Rattus norvegicus: one gene and its partners. The protein of the gene in region 7 interacts with the protein of the main gene of each other region in a pairwise test. Links are inferred from orthologs where the notes say so. Each region holds a gene or a part of one and is shown on either strand. Other genes may lie near its edges. The genes, in order: Phaf1, Rad23b, Ewsr1, Dnm2, Tex11, Arhgap19 and Atxn3.

Region 1 (4,005 bases), on a different chromosome or scaffold from region 7:
CCAGCATGACCTTGAACTTCTTTACTGTCTCAGACTCCCAATTGCTGGGATTTCAGACAGGCACAAACCAACACACCCAGCCTCTAAACATAACCAACAACACACGTCAGCATTTCTGTAGCCACTTCCCCACTGAACAGCCCAGTGACCCAGTTGTTTCGGCATGAAGCAATGCTTCCCAAAGACGTCCTATTGTTTTTGTTTTGTTTAATGCCCGTAACACTGAACTTTGGTGACGTCTGCACTGTTAGGCTCCTTTGTAGCTTTTGAGTATTAAGCCTGTCACTTAATTCCCTGCTAAATACTATCCTTAGGAAATATAATTGAAATCGGGGTTAGCTGCTAAGATCAAGGAACCTTGGGCAAAGTCTTTACCCTCACTGTGCCTCATTTATTCCTCTATAAAATGAGACTGAGAGTGTGAGGTCTTGTCATTATAAGAGGCTTCAGCTGCCTTTTAATTTTGGTGTGCCCTAGAGCAAGCAGGCCAAAAATTCAGGCTGAATAGCTTAGAGGAGCCCCTCTTCTACTCATTGGAAACGGAGGCACAGAACTCTTACGGATTTAGTCAAGCATTAGCCCATAAAGCATTAACAAGCAGCAAAGCTGACTCCAGGCAAAGCCTCTGTGCTTAGAAAGTACTCTCTAGAGTGAACATTTCTGGATACGAAACCTGGCCCGGAACCCTTCACCCTTCTAACTCAATCCTCTTACCTTAGCCCTTGCCAGCACACTCACACATCCTAAACTCTGAGGTCGACCCTGCTCAGAGACCACTGGTTCCAAGGAGAGTACATTTCCGCACAATTTAGGCAATAGCAGCCAGCGTCAGTACGTGACAAGCAAGATAATGGCCGCGAGTCCCTAAGACTAGGTCCTTCCTGTCTGTTTTGGTCCTAGTACATAGACGTAGACGGCAGACAACTTTATTTGTGTGTAATGTGTTGTCCGCATTGTGCCTTTTCTTGCGTAGGCATGTGGGTTGCTGTGCAGTTTGTACGACCCCGGGAATGTGGACTCTAAATTCAAGCTTCCTCAAGCTTTTCTCGCGCCAGTCTGGCCTCCGACCCAGAGTTTGCGCGTGCGCGACTCCGCCTCAAGCCCCGCCTCTGTGATTTAGCTCCGCCTTTGCCACGCTTTACGGCCCGGCACGGCGCTTTTGCTGCAGTTGCTCCAGGCGCTGCTGTTGCTACAGCCTCTCCTACCGGGGCTGCTGCCCGGGAGGTGAAGGGAGGTTAAGTGTGTTGTTGTGTTAGTGCTGCCGTCGCCGCCCGGGACGGAGCTGAGAGCCGGACGTCCGCAGGCTGACGAGAGCGGCCAGTCAGCAGCTGCGTGCTCTCCTCAGGCCGGGTCCTGTCTGCGCTGCCGCAGGGAGGCCGCCCGGCCCAGCGAACCGAACCAATGCTGGACCTGGAGGTGGTGCCTGAACGCTCTCTGGGGAACGAGCAATGGGAATTCACACTGGGTGAGTGTGGGGTTCTTTCGGGACCCTATTCGCTGGCCCTTAATTCTCTCTAGCCCCTTCCGCTTCTGGTTCCTGCCCTAGATGCCTCTGCGCTCGCGGTTCTTCGCCTTTTCCTACCCTCTAGTCTTTCGGCTTCAGGCTTTAGAATCCCGCTCCTCCCATCTGTCATAGGATCAGCGATGCCCTCGCCTAGGGCCTCAGCAACCTTTGGGGCTGTAGTACTTGTAATCATAATAATAGCCGGTACACTACAAATATTTAGTGGCGTGGGAAGACCCTGCTCTTTTGAATTTATCTCTAATACCCCTCCCTGAGGTCTGAGGATCGATACTATATATGCCCGTTTTGCCGACTCTAATAGTTAAGAAATAGATAGCATCCCTAATCAACACTCTCTGATCTGTCTTCCTTTGGTTTTAGGGGAATGGAGGAACATGTCTCACAATCAGATGGTTGGGGGAAATGAGCTTGCTTTTGTTAAAGGAACCCTTGACTTGTTTTCTTCTCTTTTGAAATGTAGTCTTAACATGTGGTGTCGTAATACCAGATAGCAGAGTTAAAAGTTGAAATTGAGTGAAGTGGAAATTACACATTGACTTTGTAGACAATTCGGTTTGGTCATTTGGGGGATAATTGGCCCTTGTGTGTGAACATGAGTATTTGCTTTTAGTAACTCCTGTGTGTTTACTTTGTGGCAGCACTAAGCAAAGGGTATGGGGAAAGGTGTTCCTGCTGCTTGTTTGTGTGGGCCTCAACCTCTCTCTGTCTCTCTGCTGGGAGCTCTTGGACTGAGTCATCTGCTCCATTTGTTTATGGTTTATCCTTGAATGTAGAAGACTCAGTTAATAGAGACAGCATATTGGAATAACCTCGATAGGTAGATTGCTAGAAAGAACCTACTGGGGTTTGGTGGCTGCCTGCCTCTTTCTTGCCCATTGTAAAAGCCAGTTTTATCAAGGGGTCTTGGTTCTCAGAACTTAGACTGCCTGTTCCTATAGAGTTCTCAAAATTTAGTCTGCTGTGAAAATTTCCATTCAGCCTCTTGTGGGGCACCAAGAGCTTGGCTGAAAAGCAAATGATGTTTGGCTTCTGATTAGCATTTTTTTCTCCCCTGGACAACTCCTACGTAATCTGGACCTCCCAGGACTGGTTAAGACCCACAGTTTACAGACTACAGATGGTACACTTAGACTGTGTATCTCTTTGTTTGATTGAGTGAAAACAGGAGATCAACTGGGGTCAGGAAATTTCCAGAACACAGAACTATAACATACATAACTAACTACCCAGGGCCTCTTCTGGCAAATTTGCAAGAACCAAGAATTTGAATAGTTTTTTCACACTGTCTTCATAGTGGCCAAAAATAATAGCACACTAGGTTCAGAGTTCAACTTTGGGAGAACACTCATAGGGTAGCTCTGAGCCTTAGTGATTGCTTGTACCATTTTCATTATTCTTTTTAGATTAGGTTTTGTTTGCTTGTTTTTTTTTTTTTTTTAAGACCGTTACTAGCCCAGACTGGTTTCAGACTCCCAGTGCAAGTTAAGTTTGAACTTATAATATTTCTCTCAGTATGTTGGGTTTGTGTGGTACTTGAGATCAAACCCAGTGGCAAGTACGAAAGTGGGCCACTATATCAGTCTAAAGTATACATTTTTAATTTTTAAATTTACTTATTTAGAAGGGAAGTTTAGGAGGGAAGTCTTGGCTGCTCTTTCAGAGGAGCGGGGTTAGATTCCTAGCCTCCACAGGCTTTGCATGCAGGTCATGCACATCCAAACATTCCAGGCAAACAACACCCATACACATTCAGAAACGTGTCAGGGAGGAGCTTGCACAGTTGAGGTCAGAGGACAACGGGCAAGAATTGGTTCTTTCCATCATGTGAATCCTAGTGATCAATCAGACTCATGTCACCAGGTTTACAACAGGCACCCTTGTTCACTGCCACCTTACCAGCCCTTAGAACCTGAAGTTTTAAATGTAAGGCTGGGGTGATGACCCAGTGCCTCTACAGAGACCTAGCTATCCTTGAACTCAGCTATGTAGATCAGGATGGTCGCAGATCTGCCTGCTTCTGGTGTCCACCACCACACCCAGCAAAAAGACTATAATCCTTTATAACTCTGCTAGTAAAGAAAATAGAAGGCTCATTTTAGGAATTACACAATAAGATACTGAACCACAAATTTTAAAAAATAAGGTATTTTTAATTACAATGTTTTAGAAAATGGTTAAGATACAGAGAATGAACAAAGTGAAGTTCACTTAGTTTGGCTGAAGGACCTTTTTGAAAGGCTACAGAGAAGCATAAAGATCCTCTTCAAAGAATGTTCTGTTGCATTCAAGGGTTGTGTGTGCCTTATTAACTTTTTTATTAACATATAAAGAAATGAGTTTCACTAAGACATTTGATACATAATCTATCACTATACTTTGTTCTTCTTTGCCCCCTACCCTTTTCTCTTTCTCCTTCTGGTTGGTCTTCACTTCACCATTGCATTTGAATTCTATCTTTACTTTATAGTAAAAAAAGATAA
Region 2 (3,500 bases), on a different chromosome or scaffold from region 7:
TCTTTGAATGCAGTAAAAGATGCTGGATTATAGTTCCACCCACCTTTTCTTTGAAAGCAATGTAATACTAATGGATTTAATGGCAATACATTCTTATCTAATAAAGAAAAACATCCACAAGTATCAGAAACCCAGTTTTGAAAGATGTGCGTTCATTTTGAACTGAATCAGCTTTTGTGGTGTTTTTAAAGGCAGCAGTTTGACTCACAACTTGCTGATCAAACACATTTCTACTGAGGAAAGGGGAGGGAAAGGGAGTAAATGCAGCAAAGTTTCTTCATTGGCCCCAAAAGTGCTAATTTCACAAAGGGATACACCGAAAGCAAACATGCAATGGTTGTTTTAAGTCTTTTACTGCAACACAACAGTGAAGTAAACAGTAATCAGACACCTACCAATCCCCCAAACAACACAGAATGTAAACAGGAAAATAACTCTGCCTATAAGTGTACAGCTTCTCAAATCATGTTAGATAGAGGGGCTCACATTCAATAATCAAGAAATTTTAAAATAGCAGTAATTATTTTCATTTTAAGAAAAAGCCCCCTTTCTGCCCTCCCCACCCTAAGCACTGAACATGAAGAATGGGCTTCCTTCTGCATCAATTTCATACTCATGTGAAGCAGCAACAATGACTATCAATAATTTGGCATTTCTGTTTACAGATGCTCCAATGTTTCCCCCTCAATTTCAAAAAGCCATTATCCAGTGTTGCCATAAAACAGACTGTAGATTCTAGGTAGCAAAGATTCTTTCAGAAACCAATGTTAAGTCAAAGAAAAGAGAAAGCAGGGCATCACACTAAATTTCTGGATCTAGTACACTAGAAAGAATGAAACCCAGGAAAAGTTACCTACTGCGTAGAAGAATAAAGCCCTGTAAAGGCGGTGTTTGGTTGTGTAGTATTTTACACTGTGTGGACCTGCAGCATCTGCTGACTGAAGCAGACATGCACTGTATGTATCCCTGCCCTATAGCCTAGCTCCCCACCCCCACCCCACCAACCTACTACCGTATACCAAATATTGTGGATATGAGCCCAAGTCACCCCAGACAATCCAGTGAACAAGGTTAGTGTAATGCACTGGTGTGAGTGTGAGGTACAAAAGAGTCCCTTCAGTCTTCATCAAAGTTCTGCTGTAGAAGAAAGTTGGCCGCCAGATTCTCGTTCTTCTCACAAGCAAAGTATGCTTGAATCACAAGTCCTTCAGGAAATCCTAATGCCTTTAACTGGAAAAGAAGGAAGCAATTAAATCCAGCTTATCAACTATGGTGGATATAAGTCTGCTTACATACTGGGGATTGCGACAAACAGCACCACGGAAAACGCTCAACAAAATCACACAAGGTCAGTCTCACTGGAACCTGGACTCACTGTTCAACACTCTTAGGGTGGAGAGAACATTATAACAATCGAAAATATTTATTTAATGCTGTTCTGAGTTAAGGAGATTAAATTAACAGGCACTCTATGCTAAAAGTATGCTCTGGTACCTACACTAAAAACCAGTAGTTAATTGTCCTGATTTAAAAGTAAATGAGCACAAACAAATATGGATATCAAATGGCTTTAGTAAGGGAAGGTTTAAGAAAGGGAGAGAGCATGTGGAAATACCTTAACTTGCTCATCAACTTCTTGTAAAAGCAAATGTTTCATTTCTTTTTTTTAATCAAATATATCATTCACTTTACATTCCAAAATCAATGTTGCATTGCTTAACATGGCCTGTATATTTCAATGCTGCTCTTCAGTTCCTTGCCTTATCAACACTTTATAGTAGAAAAGTGGATGATCAATTACAGTACCATGATGTATTGCGAAATAAAGACAACTATGCTTAAATTTATAGCATATTTGAATCATCAATATCAGTTACTGAATCTCATTTAAAAACTCGACTAAAGCCCTTAAAACCTTCAAATCAACTATTTACTATATAGAATCATTATTTCTTAGATGAATACCTCCCTCAACTGTCTCAAAGCCTTTCTCTGACAGACTACAGAAAGACTATTAAAAACTGGAAACAACAAAACAAAAACAAAAAACAAACTAAAAAACCCAACCCCAATTCAGCACAAGAAGCTATTTATAAATTAAAATAGAAAACTTCAAAAATGAATTTGTTAAGAGTTAAGTTGTGTACAAATTAAAACTAGGGTAGCTGAAGTAACAAGAAAGAGTTGGAACAATTCAATGACATACTGTGGTGAGACATAAACCTGAGACTTAAAGTCACACAATAACCAAAAGACAACTAGAATAGCTTTAGTTACTAGACAAATTTGTTACCAGAGATGAAGGACATTTTTACAACTAAAAGGAGGGGGCCAAGAAAACATAATGATAGACAGATATAACGAGAGGCCAAAAATACACCAAACCAACAGAACTACCACAGAAGAGAAAAACCAGCAATACTGCTGTACCCGAGGACTTCAATTGCACCACTATTAGTCACAGGGTACAGTCAGACAGGGCACCAACAAGGAAATCAAAGAAAGTAACCAGCACTATAAGGCAACTAGTCTTGACAACAGGAGAATGTTTAATAAGAGCATATTACTGTCTCAAATACTCAGTGCATATATGGATACATGTGTGTTTCTTTAATAATTGGATCAACCTTAATAAATTAAGAGTAAAACTAACCACTTAATATTAACAAGAAAATCAGTAACATTTAAAACAAAACAAAACACCACCTGAAAAGAGTGTGGCTGGAGTGGAGGGCAGGAACTTCAGGAGAGAAAATATCTTTCAATGATAAAAACAAAAAACAAACAAACGAAACCCACAAAAAGATCATTAACTGACAAACATTTAAGATGACCAGGAGGCAAAGAAACCTAAAGATTCAAGGAATAAATTTAGAACAATTCCTACCTTTTTGACAAAGGAAAGGTGTAATGAAGTACGTAAGCACAGGAGTTCCCCAAGAAAAATGAAGGTTCAAATGGCAACTGATAGTCTATCAACTCCTTAAAGAATCAATACCAATTCTTAAATTCTTCCAAAAAGAATTTAAAAAGTAAACACCATTTACTCTTGTGAGGCCCCAATTCCCCAGTATTAAAACAAGATATCCACGACCGAGAAACTACAAAGTAATAGTTGTTATGAATACAGGTATAAAACCCTCAACTAAATATTAGGAAACTGAACAAAACACCTTTATTTAATGGACAGTGGCCTTTATCCCAGGAATGCAAATGTTCCTCTACATAGAATAAATTATTTGTAAGAATGGAAGATGATCCTTTGATACTTAGAAAAAGTATTTAACCGTTTATGAGACAATCCTCACACCCTGACACTGAAGGGGAACTTCCCTCACCAGCGAACTCCATGGGAATAAACACACACATGAGTTTAGCAAGTTTAGGGGACTATAAGATCACCGTGCAAAACCAAGCTGTACTTCTACGCAGCTAATAGTGAACATTTTGAAATTAAGAAGAAAAAAATCCCAACAGCATCAAAAAGAATAGCTCTTAGG
Region 3 (2,489 bases), on a different chromosome or scaffold from region 7:
CATCTGGGAAGCAAAGGTAGACTGGAGGATCAAGAAGCTCAAAGAAGGGGTTGGGGATTTAGCTCAGTGGTAGAGCGCTTGCCTAGGAAGCGCAAGGCCCTGGGTTCGGTCCCCAGCTCCGGAAAAAAAAGAACCAAAAAAAAAAAAAAAAAAGAAGCTCAAAGAAGGTTATCACTAGCTACATATGGAGTTTGAAAACAGCTTGGACTACATGAGATTCTGTCTTAAAACAAGCAGAAAGAAAATGAAACAAAGAAACAAATGAAAACAAAACACCCACCAACTTCACTGCTGAGGTCAGAACAAAAGATGTTAAATTACATTCTAGAATTCTTCAGGACTGTCAGGTTCAAAATCAGCCTACCCACATAATGAAACCTTTACTCAACAAACATCAAAGGCCTTGGGATAAACTCAGTGGTAGAGGCTCTGCACAGCACACAACTGACATAGCCCATAACACTCAAGGTACACTGGCTAAGATGTTCACATTCTCTGTGTTTCTCTCATGGTGCTATCCTTGACACGTCTCTTTGGAAGAGTTTTCTGCACTGAACTGTCTGCTCAGAGAAGTACTTGCAGCTGGGACATGGGGGCTATGCACTCAAACACATAATAAAGGATAGTCCTGACCCTGGGCCAGTGCCTGTGTCCTTTAACAGAAGGGCACACAGTAAGCAACCCCTGGAGCAAATCTTACTGCTTCAACTCTCAAGCCCCCCACCCCCTTCATCAGGAAAGGGGAAAAGTACATGCCTCCTGTTTCTAGACTCAAAAAAAAAAAAAAAAAAAAAAAAGGTGTTTTAGCACGATCCCTTCTTTCTTGGAAGGTGGCAATGAAACTGTTCTAAGTTCTTAAGTGTGCCTGAATGAGCAGAATTCAGAGTGATAAAGAGAACATCCTACCATCAAACCATTCCACGGCAGCCTTGGCAGTTGGTGGATCTTCATAGGACACTGTGGCATCACCTTTAGGCTTTCCTGTCTCCTTATCCAGGTAGATATGGATCATGGGTTGTCCAGTTCTCTTGTTCATCTATACATAAAGCAATAATTAAGATGTGACTATAACATAAGCTTAAAGTTTACAATAGTTCCCACATTCCCCCAACTATCAAAAGGCAGAGTGTGGTGGTCCACACCTTTAACCCCAACACTCAAAAAGTACATCTATCCCTAGGCCAATCAAGGCAACACAGTGAAACCCCCAAAAATGGCAGTCTCATTCCACAGAGGGTTTTTTTTTTTTTTTTGCTTCTTTTTTTCAGAGCCGGGGACCGAACCCAGGGCCCTAGCAAGCGCTCTACCACTGAGCTAAATCCCCAACCCCCATTCCACAGAGTTTAATAAAGGTCAAGTCTTCCTCAGGATGTCAAAACTGTGAGTGACTTAGTTCCTCAGCATCCACAACAAATAGATATTTAGATAAACTTTACACCTCACACATGTTCATTAAAGAATCAAAAGCAAGCAGTGTAGGCCCTATTCCTGGTCTTGGTACCTGTGAGTAGTCTTATGAACCCAAAGAAGCACCGAAGTCAAGCCAGGATATGTAACTCTTCTAAAGAAAGTCACTCCATAGATGCACTTTATTGGAAGAGCCCTTATCTAGCATGAACAGGATCAGAGTTTGATCCCCAACTCTCTAAAAACAGAATAGAAAAACAAACAAAAGACAGAGAACAAAACGTCCCTTCCATACTGAGGCTGTGAATATACTACACAATTCTTGACCTCCTCCAAGAGTTGGAAGGATGGCTTGTTTGTGGTCGGCTTGAACTTAGAAACCACTCTGTCCAACAAGCATGCACATAAACGATGTCCAATCTATACAGGCTTATGTGTGTACCTAATAATACTTGATGCTATAGGGCTCAGAATTAAGTATTTTTTAAAAATGACTCAAATACTCATATCTATAAAAAGAATACTATTGTTAAGCTTGGTGGCAAGCACTTTTATGTTATTGAGCAGCCTTTGAGCACGAAGACTTAAAAACCAAAAAGTTATGTGACTCTGTATGAGCCTTCGGAGACCAAGAGAAGATGTCTGATCCCCTGGAACTTGAGTCACCACTGTAGGCCTCCCTGTATATACTGGGAAATGAACCTGGGTCACCAGAAAGAGTATCAAGTGCTTTTCACTACTGAGGCACCTCTTCAGTACTACTCTATTGAAGCAAGCTGGGCACTGTTGTTCACGACTGTAATGCCACTCAGAGGGTCAAGTAGAAGGATCATCACTGGTTCCAGGACTGATTGGGCCACAGGGAGTAAACTATCATCTCAAAAACCCTAAAATTATACATGTATTAATCAATATCATTAAAAAATTATGACAGGAAAGAATATAGCAAACTAGTTGTATGAATAAGGAAATGTTTTAAGCCAGAGAGGGGATCAGATTCCGCAGAACTGCAGTTGTATTGAGACCTTAACTTGGGTCCTTGAGAAGAGCAGCACGTGCTTTATAACTGTTGAGCCATCTAT
Region 4 (4,286 bases), on a different chromosome or scaffold from region 7:
CATCCAGAATTCCCGATCTAGGGGATCTGATGCTTCCTGACTTCTATGGGTACCAGGCACGTATCTGGTGCACATAAAAAAGTAAATCCTTTAAATGAAATGTTGGGCTGGAGAGATGGCTCAGTGGTTAAGAGCACAGATTGCTCTTCCAGAGGTCCTGAGTTCAATTCCCAGGAACCACATGGTGGCTCACAGCCATCTGTTATGGGATTTGGCACCCTCTCTTGGTGTGTCTGAAGACAGCTACAGTGTACTCCTATACATAAATAGATAATTCTAAAAAATTAAATGTTATGTGAATTTTTAAAAAACTGTACATCGGTGTGTTTGCTTGCATGTAGGTATGTGTGTCATGTCTGTGTCTGATACTAATGGAGGCCAGAAGAGGGTGTCAGATTCCTGGAACTGGACTCACTGATGGTTGTGAGCTGTCATGTGGGTGCTGGGAACCAAACTTGAGTCTGCTCCAAAGGCAGCGAGTACTCTTAACCACTGAGCCATCGCTCTTGGAGCAAAAAATAAAATAAAGTAAAAATAACCCTAGAGTTGTAGCCACTGGTAAAACATTTGCTTAGCTTCATGAAACCGTAGACTCAATCCTTAGTAATATACAGATACAGGCATGAGAAGACGAGAGTACTTTTCTGTGAGGCAGAAGTGTCCACTTATCTTCACTGGCATTGGGATTCTTTCAGAGCTAGGAGTTGTGAGGCTTTCTAAAATACAAGTTTTCACTACAGCCTCAGAATTCAGGTGTGACAATCACTGAACCTTATCCACGATGTTCGCCTCCCTGAGTACTGTGGCCCTTTGCTTTAAAAGAATATCACAAAGTGTTAAAAAATGCCAGGAAAGCTGAAAGAATTTTTATGACGCGGTTGTCAGTCAGGATTGGGACGCTAGTAACGTGTATCCTAGCAAGACCGGGTGGTGGACACAGGGGGAACATCGAGAGTTTGTAGCCAGCATACAGAAACTGTATAGAAACTGTATAAAAAGATTACGGCTCTTCTTTTCTCTTATTGGTTGGAGTAGAGAAGTGATATTTATATCAACCAATGAGAAATTTTTACGGAATTAACTAGTGTCAAGTGACAATCCAGTGTAGAAGGATTGATTCCTTACACTATTGGCAGGTTGACGTTTTGTGTGACCAATAAGCCAACGCGCATCCGTGAGCTGAGGCCTCAATGTCTTTCCCAGAGACCCCGCCTTCCCGGTCTGACAACCCGGCTCGATTTCTATTGGCTTTCATTTAAGAGTGACGGTTTTATTACCCAGTGAACTTGTGAAATTAACCCTTCCTCGTGCCTTTTTTATTGGCTCACGTTCTTGAGTGGCAGTGCTATTGACCAATTAGATATAGCATTAGGGCTGCGGGCTCCACCCCGGAGGCCGGGAGGGGAGGTTGCTCGGGTCGGGTGTCGCCTGAGAACCGGATGAGGCGGTGACTGTGAGGCCGAGCCGGGAGCGGGCGTCGCGGCGAAGGGGAGCCCGGGCGGGCTGGCAGAGCAGAGCAGGAGGAAGCAACGGCCACAGACGCATCGGGACCGCGAGTCGTAGTCGGGGGATCCGCGGGGCGGAGGCGGGCACCATGGGCAACCGCGGGATGGAAGAGCTCATCCCGCTGGTTAACAAGCTGCAGGACGCCTTCAGCTCCATCGGTCAGAGCTGCCACCTGGACCTGCCGCAGATCGCCGTGGTGGGCGGCCAGAGCGCCGGCAAGAGTTCGGTGCTCGAGAACTTCGTGGGCCGGTGAGCGAGCGCGCCGGCGGCGGTTCTGGGGCTCCGGCTGGGAGGGCGGGCGGCGGCCTAGGGCGCGGAGGGCGGGCGGGGAATGGCGGAACTGCGGCTCGCGGACGCCTCAGGACCGGTGGCATTGGGTAAGGTCTGGGGCAAGAGTCTCCATGACTTTTCTCAGAGACTGGAGATGGAGATCCAGGTCTGGTACTAGTCGATGATCGTGGGTGGTGTTTGGGGCAAGACGGTCAATGCAAACCTCTCTTGGTGCATCTAGTTCCGGCTATCGCTGGGTAACTCTGACATCGCTTTGCCTGTGATCTGTGGTGATCCACTCCTCTTTTCTCCTGCTGCCTGGAAGTCTTAGTGTGTGTGCTGTTGAAGATAACACTTGCCACCCAGCCATCCATGGGGGATGACCCCTGGGGTCTGTCTGGCCAGTTATTTATCTGGAGCCTTCTCTCTTGTCTGGTTAGCTGGTTATCCGTTCTGAACAGGCTTCCTACGGGCACCATTTGGTTGTCCCATCTGTCCAGACCCACTCTGAGGTCCACCGTTGTCTGGCTAGCCATCTGAGGTGACCTCTCGTGTGCGAATGCCCATCTGTGCCCCTTATTTACTTGAGTGGGCCTCTGCCATCTGACCTGCTGAACTTTGGTAGCCTCTTGTTATCTGGTTCTCTTGGGCCGACTGACTCTTGTCTTCCAAGTGAATCCATCCATTAGTCTGTTCTCCATTACCGCCCAGGCACCCCTGCCTGTCCATCCTCTCTGAGTGACAGAACTCAGGGAACTTGGGAAGAAACATTCTGTAGGGTTCTTTCCTGGCCCAGGATCCCCAAACCCGTCAGATGACTTCTAAGCTAAAGCCTCCCAGTTGGAATGCTCTCCAGACAGCTCTGGGAGCCTCAGCTTCTTCCATCTGTCCAGTGGGCAAATTCCACTCGCAGCTGTTTGTAGGATCCAGGAAGTGAGTGAAGAAGGGATGTTGATTTACTCCTGTCCCTCCCCCTCTGCCTTGCACACAGCAGCACTTCTCCATTCCAGGAAGTGCTCCATGTATGATGCTGCAGTGTGTGCCCAGTGATAACATTTGCTTTGCTGTGGACATTATCATTGTGTGTGTGTGTGTGTGTGTGTGTCCAAGTGTGTGCCAGAGTGCACTTGTGGAGTCAGGGGACATAATCTTTGTAAAGTCCTTCCAATTCTCTGTGGGTCCTGGGGAATCAAACTCTGGTCATTAGGCGTTTGTCCTCCCATCTTAAATTTTAGAGACATGGTCCCTCACTGAGCATGAAGCTCACTGATCAGCTAGTCTGGTTGGCCAGTGAGTTCCAGTGATCCACCACTCTCTGCCTCACCCTAACATTGGGACGGAGACAGACAGACAGACAGACAGACAGACAGACACACACACACACACACACACCCTGTGTTGTGTGTTTTTGTTACCAGTCTTGTGGAGGCAGGGCATCCCTAAATTTGAGGCTAGCTCACTCTACATAGAGTTCTAGGGCAGCCAGGGATACATAGTCAGACCCTGTCTCAAAAACCTTCAAAGTTGATGCAAGGCTGCAGGGACTGGGTTGTTGGAAGTGTTTATTTAGGCTGAACCTGTGACCTTAGGGACGTGGGAGTCTGAGGCAGATTTCTTGAGTTTGAGGTCAATCTGGCCTCCATTGTTAGTCCTTGTCTCAAAAAAAAAAAAAAAAAAAAAAAAAAAAAGGCCAAGAGAGAGCTGTGGGCTAAGCTCAGACATAGAGAACTTACCTAGCATGAATAAGACCTTGGGGTCAGTTCCCAGCACCAATTGATAACAAATATTATCGATATTTATGTTTTCTTTGATTGCTTCATACTCAGAGATCTTTCTATGACTGTGGCTTTAGGTGCTGAAATAAACATTTTATGTATATGCATATGCACATATCCATGTTTGTTTTGTTTTGTTTTTAAGACAGTGTTTCTCTGTGTAACTGAACCCTGGCTGTCCTGAAACCCCCTTTGTACACCAGGCTGGCCTCTACCTCAGTTGACGAGATTAAAGGCAAGTGCCACCAAGCCCAGCTATTGATTCGTTTTTTAAATAGCATCTCACAACATAGACAGGCTGGCCTTGAACACACCTGCTTCTGCCCCCTGAGTGCTGGGATTAAAGGTGTACAGCACCCTTCCTGGTTTTTTTTTTTGTTGTTGTTGGTTTGTTTGTTTGTTTTGAAACAGTCTCATACTGTAGTCCAGGCTGACCTGGAACTTACTGTATAGCACAGGTTGGCCCCCAGAATTGTAGCAGCAGTTTTCAGATTTCATTTTTCAAGTGCTGGGATCAGGTATGCACCACTATGTCTGGCTTAAGACATAGTGATTACTCTAGAATGCCATAATGTACCTGCATTATGCGGCCTCGGTAAGAGGGTCCCACTCAGTCCCATTCTCTATTTCCTGATGTGAATTTTACTAAACAGTCAGAACTGAGAGTCTATTCTGACCCTACTGCTGTTTCCTCCTTCTGCTGTTCTTGAATGTCCATCAGTGGACATCTGGCTG
Region 5 (3,500 bases), on a different chromosome or scaffold from region 7:
ATCCCTAGAACAAACGAAACTCAAGAGGGATGATCAAAATTTGAATGCTTCACTCCTTCTTTAAAAGGGGAACAAGAATACCCTTGGCAGGGAAGAGAGAGGCAAAGATTAAAACAGAGACTGAAGGAACTCCCATTCAGAGCCTGCCCCACATGTGGCCCATACATATACAGCCACCCAATTAGACAAGATGGATGAAGCAAAGAAGTGCAGACCGACAGGAGCCGGATGTAGATCTCTCCTGAGAGACACAGCCAGAATACAGCAAATACAGAGGCGAATGCCAGCAGCAAACCACTAAACTGAGAATAGGACCCCCGTTGAAGGAATCAGAGAAAGAACTGGAAGAGCTTGAAGGGGCTCGAGACCCCATATGTACAACAATGCCAAGCAACCAGAGCTTCCAGGGACTAAGCCACTACCTAAAGACTATGCATGGACTGACCCTGGACTCTGACCTCATAGGTAGCAATGAATACCCTAGTAAGAGCACCAGTGGAAGGGGAAGCCCTGGGTCCTGCTAAGACTGAACCCCCAGTGAACTAGACTGGTGGGGGGAGGGCAGCAATGGGGGGAGGATGGGGAGGGAACACCCATAAGGAAGGGGAGGGGGGAGGGGGATGTTTGCCCGGAAACCAAAGAATTATTATTACGTATTAAATAAATTTTAAAAAAAAGAAAAAAAAAGAACCAAACTTAGATTAGGCTCAGCAAGAGGTACCTTCCTTTACCTGCTCAGCCATCTCACTGGTCCTAAAACCCTTCAGGAAAATACAGCAATAGATGCTAGAAAATTGTGCATCCATAAGGACCTGAACTGGGACACTCAAACACCCACATGTTAAATCCAGACATGGTGAGGCACACCTATAATGCGAGCACTGGGAAGGCAGAAACAGAAAGTTCGGTATGGCTTGCAAGCCAGTTAGTCTTGCCCAGTGAGCTCCAAATACAGTGTGAGACTCTGTCTCAAAAAAAAAAAAATAAGGTGGGGGCTAAAGAGATGTTCAATGGTTAAGAGCAAATCTTGCAGGAGACCTGAGTACAGTCCCAGGGGATCTGATGCCTCTGGCCTCTATAGGCACCTGTATTCAAAGCCAAACCCACATGCAGACACATACTTAAAATAATCCTTAAAACAAACATCACCTGAATTATAATGAACAAAATTATATTTTTACCAACCTGAATATTCTGTACTTCAGTCAGAGACTTCCTGTTGAAATTTGATATGTTCATGAAGAATTTGTCAATCATTTCATGTAGTCTCCATGAATTTCCAGTTATGATCATGGTTTTAATAACTTCTGAAATAACAAAGAACAGTAAGTGTGCTATGAACTTATTGCAACTGGTTAAAGTTAGCAAAGCGTTGTCAAATTTGTTCCTAGATCTTTGGCCAAATAAATACAGCATTAAGTAAAAGCTGAAAATAAAATTTCTTTTAGCTAAAGAGAGAATACAATTACCACTGGGATTAACTTGAACTTGGTGATCACTCTACTCATTCTCTAAAAGTAAAGTGTATTGACTCCACAAAGAGTAATGCTATTATAAATAAAACTACTACAAAACAGATGTTAGCGATGCCTTCCAACTTAAAAAAACATAGAAAATTGAGGAGAATGGATATATATCCTGTAAAACTGAAATATTTATTATTACTTGCAAGCATTAGTCAAACATCAATTTATGCTGGATCTGAAGAACTGGCCTTGCTTTGTAAGGAAAAGAAATGACATGTCCAATTAGAGACAACATTGTCCAGTTATTGAATCTGTATAAATGATGTCACTATTTTCTAAACAATCTGAGCACCAGATCCTCCATATAGTCAAATCTTACCAGGCCATGGAATTCATTAGAGCCCAAAAAAAATAAAAACATGATGTAGACTCAAACTGATACCTTTCATATTATCAAAACTGAGCAATTTTTCCAACCTAGTGTAACACAGTTTCCATAAGGTACATCTTTTCCTTTCCTTCTGATTATCATACAGAATAAAAATGGCATTATACTTATTCATAAAATACAATAAAAGCATCTAACAGTGCTGAAAAGGTGTATGTCTGTAGGGGTGTGTGTGCAGTTGGGATTCAGAGCCTCATACATATTATACAACTATACTTCCAACTACAACAAACAGATCTTTAATATGCTACAATTATTTCATGTTAGAAAATAGATTCAAATAAAGACTTCACAAAGCAAACTATGTTCAAATATTTTTTATAGTGCATGGAAGCTTTAGTACCTCCTTGTGCTGGCTAGTTTTATGTCAAATTGAAACACTAATTACCTGCAAAGAGGGAACCTCAGTTGAAAAAAATGCCTCTACAAGATCTGGTATAGGGCATTTTCTTAATTAGCGACTGATGGAGGAGGTCCCACCTCATTGTGGGTGGTGCCATCCCTGGGATGGTGATCCTGGGTCCTATAAAAAAGCAGGCTGAGCAAGCCACAATGAGTAAGCCAGTAAGCGGCACCCCTCCATGGCCTCTGCATCAGCTCCTGCCTCCAGGTTCCTGCCCTGTGTAAGTTCCTGTCCTGACTTCATTTGATGACCAGAGATAAGGAAGTGTAAGCCCAATAAATCCCTTCCTCCCCAACTTTTTTGGTCATGATATATTAACCCTAACTGGACACCACAGGATAAGCAGAAATATAATAGAAAATATAGCACATCTACATTTCACACTATAGGTTATATTTTATAGGTATATTTGAAAAACTAAACCTGTGTCTTTTCTTCCTTCCATAACTTACTTAATGTAAAGATTCATATGAAATAACTTTCATATGAAAATACTAATTTCAAAATAATTCTGATCCCTTCAAAATACATTTTCAATGTAAAGCAGTGGAACAACTTAATTGACACCAGCAGAGGTGATGGCATACTGCACTCCTTTAGTATAAAACACAGTCAGAAAATCTGGGAAGGGAGTAGAGATCACACAGCTGAATAAGGGTTGCACTAGAAAGGAGAAATTTACTATTAAAAGAAGCTCACAGAAGGGTTTCTAAATGCAATCTTCCTAAGATGTGAAGACAGCATGTCACATTAAGATCATATCAAGCAAAATCATACACTGGAAACAAAAACAAAATGGTTAAACAAAGCTATCAGAATAAAGTATAATTTATGGATTGATTTCAGTCTATCTAATTTAACAAGATTCCTGCTAGCTAAAACTCTGGCATCATTCTATTATGGTGACCCTGTTAACTTGCATCAATTAATGCTAATTAGGTAGACAAGATACTACAGACAGTGTGTGTAATAAAAAATAAATATTTTCCCTGTCTTTGAAGAAGGAAATTTCTATTCTGACATGGAAAAGTCTACAAAAAAGCCTATCCATGTGCCCTGCCCAAAGCAACCTCAGTGACCTCCATTGGCTCAACCAGTCAGTCAAAAGCCAAAGCTGCTCAAAGGTCTGCCAGGGTCAGTTCACAATTCTTTTTCATGTCACAAGGGTTACATTCAACTACTT
Region 6 (3,500 bases), on a different chromosome or scaffold from region 7:
CTATTGCTGTATTCAGACACACCAGAAGAGAGCATCAGATCCCATTACAGATGGTTGTGAGCCACCATGTGGTTGTTAGGAATTGAACTCAGGACCTCTGGAAGAGCTGCCACTACCATTAACCACTGAGCCATCTCTCAGCCCCAATAAAACATTTTAGAACATACTTTTTTTATGTCACTATCATCTGAACCCAGGGCTCATATGTGAGCAAGCAGTCTACCATTGAGCTGCATTCATCCCAGAACAACAGCTTTAAATACAGACGCTACAAGAGCAAACTATGAAGCAGAAGGGTAAGGTAGCTGCATTGTAAACAAGGAGACGCTTGAACTGGCCGTTTGCTCAGGAGCTCTGCAGTGAAGAATTTCAGTACTGTTTTTATTGGTTAGTGGTCCTGGGGCTTGAACCTAGGACTTTGTACATGCCAGGTCCAACTGAAGATGCCCTTTTGAAAATTTGCTGGAAGCTTTAGAGCTAATCTCCTGAACCCTGGCATTCCCAGTTCAGCATTCTCGAGTGATTCCTGCCTTCTGAAGAGAGGATATACAGGCCTTATTTTTCTCATGTTGGGGTGTGTGTGTGTGTGTGTGTGTGTGTGTGTGTGTGTGTGTGTGTTTTAGCTTATTTGGCTTTTAAAAAAAATCTATTTGATTTTTATGTCTTTTAAAAATTAAAACTTTTGGGAGGTAGAGACATGGCTCAGCTGGTCTTATAGAGAGGACCAGAGTTCATTTCCTAGCACCCATATTGGGCATCTTACAATGGCCTATAACTTCAGCTCCAGGGGGTCTGATGCTGCCACCTCTGTAGGCACCTGTACAGACACACACACACACAGACACACACACACACACACACACACACACACACACACACACACACACAGTAAATTTAAAAAAAAAATTAAACAATAGAAACTTTTAGAGATTTGCTTCCTCCAGTTTTTCAGAGGTGTCTGACAGTGGGTCTGAAGACGGTCTCGCTCTAGATGGTGTCATGTAAATACCTGGCCCTGCTGTTGTTAGTTATAATCAGAGGTTAATGCTTTAGGTTTTCAGTTTAGTTTAGGTGTGTATGTGTGTGTGTGTGTGTGTGTGTGTGTGTGTGATTTTTGACGATGTTTTTGCTGCAGGGTTTCTCTAAGATGGAGTTGTTACTTTCTCTGCCTCAGCAGCTCACGTTGTTTTCTGGCTATTCAGAAGGCCTCGTACTCCTGTTCTGTGTGTCAGTGGTCACGTGACCATCCTGAGGGGCCTTTTGTGCCTGCATTAGGAACTCAGACAGTTTTTGCACATTTACTTGTCTTGTGTGAGGAAGGACAGAGAAACAGAATCTTAGAGGAGACCTAGTCTGTGGCTCCCTTAGTGGAGAGGAGAAGGGGACCCCCCCCCAACACCCATTTTTCCAAAAAAGCCCAACCCTCGAGAGTGACTGGGATCCAGATGTGCTGTTATTAGCTAATATTAGGCAGTTTAAGTCACCCAGAGAAACAGTCATTCTTGGCTTTTGCTCTATCCTTCCCTCCTTTATATGACATGGCCCCAGTCTGTACAGAAATTATCAGGCTGCTGATAAGCTTTTTTTTAAACTGAGGAGGTTGTAGTTTTGAAAGCCAGATAACTACAAAATAATAAATGCTCATAAATAAAATATTTTCTGTTTCTAAATCAGCGCAAAGTCCTGGGCAGTCAGATGACTTCAGAAAAGAAAAACAGTTCCCCTGCTCCAGAGTCTGTGGCCATGGAGGAACTGAAGAAAGCCAGCAAAGAGAATATGAACCTGGTAAGAGCACACACTTGCCTGTCTCTCCCTGGGAAGGAGCTGACAGACTGGCACTTGTTCTGCTGTGACTCTCGGTCGGTCAGCAGTGCTCACCGCCCTTTCTGTACATTTACACCAGACCATTCAGCATGCTTTGAGTTCAGGAAAGATAAGGCATGTAGATTAGTTTGCTTCTGTTGCACACTGGCTACAACTCAGGAAGGAAAGGGTTTATTTGACTTACAGCTTACAGTTCATTATGGAGGGAAGTCAGTCAGTGTAGGAACTCAACACAGGAACTGGAGCTGAGGCCATGAAGAACACTGCTTACGGCTTGCTCCCCACGGCTCTCTAAGCTTGGCTTCTTTTTGTAGAACCTAAGACTGTGTGCCCAGGGAGGCCCCTTACAGTGTCTGTGCCCTCCTACATCAATCATTAATCAGGAAAATGCCCTACATGCTTGCCTACAGGCCGGGCTGCTGGAGACATTATTTCAATTGAGGGTCCCTCTCCCCAGATGACTCTAACCAGCAAAGCTAGTTACACAGCACGATAGCTCTGTCAACAAGTGCTGAAGGGTTGGTTAATTCTCCCCAGAAATGTCATAGAGCATGGCTCCGCAGTATCTGTGGGCAGTCCTTCAAGGTATGCGAGGCTACTGCACTAAGCTGCCCATAGCCAGTTAAGCGTGGGCATAACCTTCATCTGTAATGGAGACTGGCGTCTGATCATCTAAGCCACTGTACAGTTTTCTCGTTGCAGTTCTTCTCTGGCTCTCCAGCTGTCACAGTGACACCAATGAGATTGAAATGGTCTGAGGCGAAGAGAGAGGGGAAAAAAGGTACTCACCAGAGCTGCCGTCTGTCTTTACCACCCGGGCTTCTGTCCTGTGTCTTCTCAGTCAGCGTATTTCCCTTTTTCGATGTCCAAGGTGGTGTGGTATACTTGTAGTCATAGAAATGGATGCTTAGTCTACTTAGCACTGCCTTCAGTACTGAGGGCAGAGTTCCAAACTGACTCACTGACACCTGCTGTGGGCAGACAGGACCCACACATGCATCAGCTGTCTTATATTTGTTTTGTTTTGGTTTTGTTTTTTACTGATTTATTTATTATGTATATAGCACTCTGGTTGCTGGGAATTGAACTCAGGACTTCCGAAAGAACAGCCAATGCTCTTAGCCTCTGAGCCATTTCTCCAGCCTTTAAGAACACTTGTTAAACAAGAAGACACAAGGACAAATGGCTTCGTGAGGCTGAGAACGTCCATGCGAAGAGGACACTCATGAAAGTCATGTTTCTTTTCTCTGCCAGCTTTCGTAGTCGTGGAGAGACCTTAGAAGTCGTGTCAGCATGTTTAGTTCAGAGAGGAGTTAGCACGGTTGTTCTTAGCTTTTCTGTTAAAGCTGCTGTGAGCAGGCATGGGACTGCACAGCTGAAATCCAGCACTCAGGCAGGACTCAGGAGGGATTCTGGAGTTCAGTTGCTACTCCATATGTCAGCAGTGGAAAGAGCTCATGTAGACATGTCATTCAGTGGTAGTGCACACTTGTCCCCACCCTGGGACAACAGAGTCATTGTGATGAATCTTTATTGTCTTCTAGAAAATTAGGCTGTCGTGTGATTTCTTACTTCTTACTGTGATGAATGACCGAGCTCCCTTCTCCTGCTCTCTTTTGCACAGAATTGTGCTACTGAAGCAAGCTCAATATTTGAGTTATTCCTATCCAAATATT
Region 7 (4,283 bases):
AAGTCAAATGCCTTCCTCAGTTGCGCTCCACCTTATTTTGTGAGATAGTCTTTCACTGAGCCTAGAACTCACTGATTTCAGCTAGACTGGCTGGTCAGCAACCAGAAACCCACCTGGCTCGGTTCCCTGCCTCAAGTACTGGGGATACAAACACACACTGGGATCTGAACTCTGGTTTTCATGCTTACACAGCAAGCACTATTCAGGTGAGGCATATCCTTGGCCTGAGTAAGTCTTTGTTAGCCTAGCATTTTGGATATACTGATTCAGTAGTTACCTTCACTGAAATCTGCTCAAATGAGGAACAATCAATATTGTCAAGAAGGTATTGAGGGGGGTTGGGGATTTAGCTCAGTGGTAGAGTGCTTGCCTAGCAAGTGCATGGCCCTGGTTCGGTCCCCAGCTCCAAAAAAAAAAAGAAAAAAGAAAAAGAAAAAGAAAAAAAAAAAAAAAGAAGGTATTGAGGGAGATGGAGAGGTGGCTCAGCAGTTAAGAGTACAGGCTGGCTTTCCAGATGACCTCGGTTCAACTCCTAACACCCACACAGCTACTCACAAGCCTGTTACTCCAGTTCCAGGGAATCTTCTGGCTTTAGTGGGCAACAGACACACAGTGCACAGACATACACAACAGTAAACACCAATACAATTTTTTTGTTTGTTTTCCATGACAGTTTCTCTGTATAGAGCTGGCTGTTCTAAAACTCTCTCTGTAGACTAGGCTGGCCTTGAACTCACTAGAGATTCCCCTGCCTCTACCTTCCAAGTGTGAGGTTAAAGGCCTACCACCCCTGCCAGCAAAAAAATACATATTTTTTAGTGTATTGTTTAAGAGCCCTATGCTGAGCTTCAATCCCAGGATGGTAGGTGGCAGAGGTACCTATTTAACATATCAAAGCGGACCTGAACTCCAGGTTCTCCCAGCATCCCTTAGTCCCTACTTATACCAGGGTATAGCTGGTATACCTACTCTCTACCCTGAACTCTCCAGACCATGGCCTAGCTGCCCTTCCCCTAGTGGTCCTTGCCTATGTAATTCATGTATTTTGGTAACCCAACCTCTTTGGTATACTTCTGCACCTTTGGCTCCTGGCTGCTGTATTTCCTTTCCCTCTCCCCATGTGGTTCAGGGTCATGACAACTCTGGGGTCTCCCAAATGTGTCTGCCCCAGGCTATGCTCTCCCACATCTCTTTAATAAACTTTCTCCTTCACCATACCTAGAAGTCATGTCCTTTCCATTTCTTCCTTCATTCACCCTAAAGATGACCCAGAGAGTAAAGGAGCTTGCTGCCAAAGCCTCAGACACCTGGAATCCACACCAAGTTGGAAAGAGAGGACAGACTTTATCAAGTCATCCTTGACCTCCACACAAGCACATGCATTTTTCTTTTAAGAATACATGGCAGGAGTCTCACAAAACAGTGTATAAAGTATAACATGTTTAAAATGGATTTTATCCCAAAGAGTATAACATGTTTAAAATGGACTTTATCCCAAAGCCTTTGGAAAATTACAAAAGAGTGGGGGAGGGGGTGGCGCACTCAGAGTCAGGGCACATGGTCATAATCCCAGCCAGCACTCAGGAGGCAGAGACAGTAGGATGGAGAGTTTGGGGCCAGCTTGGGCTACAAGAAATCTTGTCACAAACTAACTTGTTCCAGTTCCAAAAACACTATGAAAGGTCTTCTTAAGAACACTTTCATTTAACAACTTCCTTAGATTTACAGCATTTTTGTCTTTCTTTTGTCGTGCATGGACTTTAAACGTTGTGAATGAATGCTCCTTTACAAATGATAAAAACAAAGGCCTTTGCTCCAACTGTAATAATAGTCTCAACTAGCAACCCTCTCCAAACCTAAAATGATTATGAAACACGGAATCATGCCAAAGTTGTCCGAGGAACACCCAAATGACTTGATAATTGTATGCGAGCATAGACCAGTTTCTCGAGATGTCACAATACTGTAAAGCGTAGTCACTTAGGAATTAAGGTGAGGAAGAGACTAGCCAAATCACACAGTAGAAAGATTCTAATCTATCCATAATACCTAAAAACAAAGCTGGCCTCCTGGTCCGGAAAAATGGGAGAGCAGCCCAAACATCCCGTAATAAAAACTCTTATGACGACTTCCCTCCGGGATTTCCTACTTTACTTCCCAAGTGTCAGGCCCTTCAATGGGAGAGCCACGGTCACAACTGCAGAAGGACGTGGGATAGATCACCAAGATCTAAATGCATGGGACATTCCATCATAGAACTGAGTTGAGAGAGAAAGTTGGTTCTGCCAGAGGATAGGTCAGGGGGAGTGGGTGGAGTTGGGAAGGGTCCGTCAGGTGTGGAAAGGCGTCTCGCTAGACTAGACCACAGGAGAGAAGATAGAAGAAACCCGAAAAGGCGTGGCAAGTGAACAAGAAACGCCCGCGCTAATCCTCCGGATGAAGCCCCCCGAAATGCCCAGGTTACCCGCCCGGTCTTTTAGGGTGAGGGTGCCGGAGACGCATGCGGGAGGCTTCATGAACGGTGCCATGGGGGGAAGGCAGGAAGCACCCCTCACCCAGCCAAGTCGGGATGGGGGCGCTCGGGCCCCGCCTGAGTTCCTGAAGCGGCGACGCTGCTCCCCACGCCCGCCGCCGAGCCGCGGACGGCTCCCCACCGAACGCCCACACTCACTTTCTCGTGGAAGATGGACTCCATGTTTATTTGTCTGGAGCCAACGGCCCCGGCGCGGAGCAGCCCCCTCCAGCAGCTCCGCCCCCGGCCCCACCCCTCCGCCCCGGCCCGCCCCGCCCTACCCACGTGCCTCCCGCCACCCAATCACTACTGCGGGCGCACGTCACGCGGCACGCGAGCCGGGGAGCACGGGACACGTGACCTGGGCGGCGCTGGTCCTCCCGCCGCGTGTGTGATGCTGCGGCGCCGCCTGCTGTGCGGAGGAACTTCTCTACGCTAGACAATGTTGTGATTCTAGGGTTCTAGATGAGAATCCTCGCAGCCAGGTTTTAGGTTCTTTTTTTTTTCTCCATTTCCACCTTTTTTGGTACTTTCTGCTCAACTACGTGTAATACCTCCTCTCCCACTGAAAACCTCATTCCAAAAAAGGCATTCTCCCAATACCTAGTATTTGTGTGAAAACTATAGCTAGTATTTAGTTAGGGCTGACTTATAATAGTCCACTTCTAAGTGCGATTTAATGCGGCATTTTTGATGTGTGTGTATGTTGTAATATTATTATACAAATGAAGAAATGTAGGCACTAAGAAATTAGAATAGCACAGTGTCCAACACAGTTGCCTGTCGGAATGAGTATCAGGTCCCAGGATAAATGTACAATATCTGAAGGAGGAAGCGTCGATGGGGAAGTGAAAAGTCCAGTAAAATGTTGAGTGGCTCGCGCCGGGGGTGGGGGAGGGATTGACAAAGATTAAGTGTTATTTGGGCGCGGATCTTGTGTGGTGGAACCATTTTAGGTTCTTCAAAGTCAGCAAAGAAACTGGGTACAAAGACTCATTCTCCTAATCCTTGCACCTGAAGGTAGGAGGAGTATGTTGTGTTGGACTGTGGCAGCCTGTAACCAGGGTTTCTAGGACGATCCTGCCCGCCACCTCCCAACCAAAAACAAAACAAAACAAACAAAAAACCTACAGGAGGTTACAGATTTTCAAAACTAGAGACATGGGGTCAAATTAGAATTTTAGAAGATCACTGGGGAACAGAATACTTGAAAGGCATTTTGGGAGAAATGAGGAGACAATGGTGGTCAGAACTCCAGTAGTGATTTGAGAATGGAGAGAGACCAATTTGAAGTTTCAGGAAGCAGACTCAGAAGACTTTGGTGAGGAACTGGGGTGAAAGGGGTTATTGTTAGGAAAGATTTGTGGGTGTCTGCTGTAGGTACCACCTAAAGAAGGAGTAATACTCCAACCAGAAATACTGTGCAGAATGAGCAGGGTCTTGGGAAGGGAAGACAAGGGTTTAATTTGGGGAATAATGAGTTTAAATGTCTGTGCAACATAAGGTACTTTTGTGAGTAATAGATGTCTGGCCTGGAGTTTACAGAAGCTGTTTTGAGCTGTGAGGTGAGATTCATTGCAATTTAGAAGGTAACTGGCTATGAGGTTAAGAGCATTTGCCACTTCTCTTGTAGAGGACCTGGGTTTGATTCTCAGAACCCACATAGAGGCTCACAGAATTTGGTATCTCCAGATTCAGGGGATCTGATGCTTCTGCAACATACCTAGTAGGTACGGTGACACACATACATGCAGGCAGGCAAGCACTTATA

What was found.
Region 1: the proteins of Atxn3 (region 7) and Phaf1 interact in binary tests that used the Homo sapiens proteins (3 or more experiments, as listed by UniProt). The link is inferred for Rattus norvegicus from reciprocal best matches to the Homo sapiens genes ATXN3 and PHAF1.
Region 2: the proteins of Atxn3 (region 7) and Rad23b interact in a two-hybrid assay, tested with the Homo sapiens proteins (2 studies listed by BioGRID and IntAct). The link is inferred for Rattus norvegicus from reciprocal best matches to the Homo sapiens genes ATXN3 and RAD23B.
Region 3: the proteins of Atxn3 (region 7) and Ewsr1 interact in binary tests that used the Homo sapiens proteins (3 or more experiments, as listed by UniProt). The link is inferred for Rattus norvegicus from reciprocal best matches to the Homo sapiens genes ATXN3 and EWSR1.
Region 4: the proteins of Atxn3 (region 7) and Dnm2 interact in binary tests that used the Homo sapiens proteins (3 or more experiments, as listed by UniProt). The link is inferred for Rattus norvegicus from reciprocal best matches to the Homo sapiens genes ATXN3 and DNM2.
Region 5: the proteins of Atxn3 (region 7) and Tex11 interact in binary tests that used the Homo sapiens proteins (3 or more experiments, as listed by UniProt). The link is inferred for Rattus norvegicus from reciprocal best matches to the Homo sapiens genes ATXN3 and TEX11.
Region 6: the proteins of Atxn3 (region 7) and Arhgap19 interact in binary tests that used the Homo sapiens proteins (3 or more experiments, as listed by UniProt). The link is inferred for Rattus norvegicus from reciprocal best matches to the Homo sapiens genes ATXN3 and ARHGAP19.

What each region holds. Positions count from the first base shown.
Region 1 is NC_086037.1:50,010,233-50,014,237, forward strand, and holds the start of Phaf1 (phagosome assembly factor 1), read left to right. Parts: upstream 1-1,205; 5' UTR 1,206-1,401; coding exon 1,402-1,465; intron 1,466-4,005. UniProt on the Homo sapiens protein: Plays a regulatory role in autophagic activity. In complex with BCAS3, associates with the autophagosome formation site during both non-selective and selective autophagy.
Region 2 is NC_086023.1:74,920,018-74,923,517, reverse strand, and holds part of Rad23b (UV excision repair protein RAD23 homolog B), read right to left. Parts: intron 1,231-3,500; coding exon 1,117-1,230; 3' UTR 1-1,116. UniProt on the Homo sapiens protein: Multiubiquitin chain receptor involved in modulation of proteasomal degradation. Binds to polyubiquitin chains.
Region 3 is NC_086032.1:84,181,607-84,184,095, forward strand, and holds part of Ewsr1 (RNA-binding protein EWS), read right to left. Parts: intron 1,037-2,489; coding exon 907-1,036; intron 1-906. UniProt on the Homo sapiens protein: Binds to ssRNA containing the consensus sequence 5'-AGGUAA-3'. Might normally function as a transcriptional repressor. EWS-fusion-proteins (EFPS) may play a role in the tumorigenic process.
Region 4 is NC_086026.1:28,253,103-28,257,388, forward strand, and holds the start of Dnm2 (dynamin-2), read left to right. Parts: upstream 1-1,486; 5' UTR 1,487-1,594; coding exon 1,595-1,755; intron 1,756-4,286. UniProt on the Homo sapiens protein: Catalyzes the hydrolysis of GTP and utilizes this energy to mediate vesicle scission at plasma membrane during endocytosis and filament remodeling at many actin structures during organization of the actin cytoskeleton.
Region 5 is NC_086039.1:70,226,545-70,230,044, forward strand, and holds part of Tex11 (testis-expressed protein 11), read right to left. Parts: intron 1,308-3,500; coding exon 1,186-1,307; intron 1-1,185. UniProt on the Homo sapiens protein: Regulator of crossing-over during meiosis. Involved in initiation and/or maintenance of chromosome synapsis and formation of crossovers.
Region 6 is NC_086019.1:250,535,682-250,539,181, reverse strand, and holds part of Arhgap19 (rho GTPase-activating protein 19), read left to right. Parts: intron 1-1,674; coding exon 1,675-1,785; intron 1,786-2,512; coding exon of another isoform or gene 2,513-2,526; coding exon 2,527-2,605; intron 2,606-3,500. UniProt on the Homo sapiens protein: GTPase activator for the Rho-type GTPases by converting them to an inactive GDP-bound state.
Region 7 is NC_086024.1:126,869,982-126,874,264, forward strand, and holds the start of Atxn3 (ataxin-3), read right to left. Parts: upstream 2,801-4,283; 5' UTR 2,696-2,800; coding exon 2,672-2,695; exon of another isoform or gene 2,556-2,671; intron 2,522-2,555; exon of another isoform or gene 2,050-2,521; intron 2,023-2,049; exon of another isoform or gene 1,219-2,022; intron 1-1,218. UniProt on the Homo sapiens protein: Deubiquitinating enzyme involved in protein homeostasis maintenance, transcription, cytoskeleton regulation, myogenesis and degradation of misfolded chaperone substrates.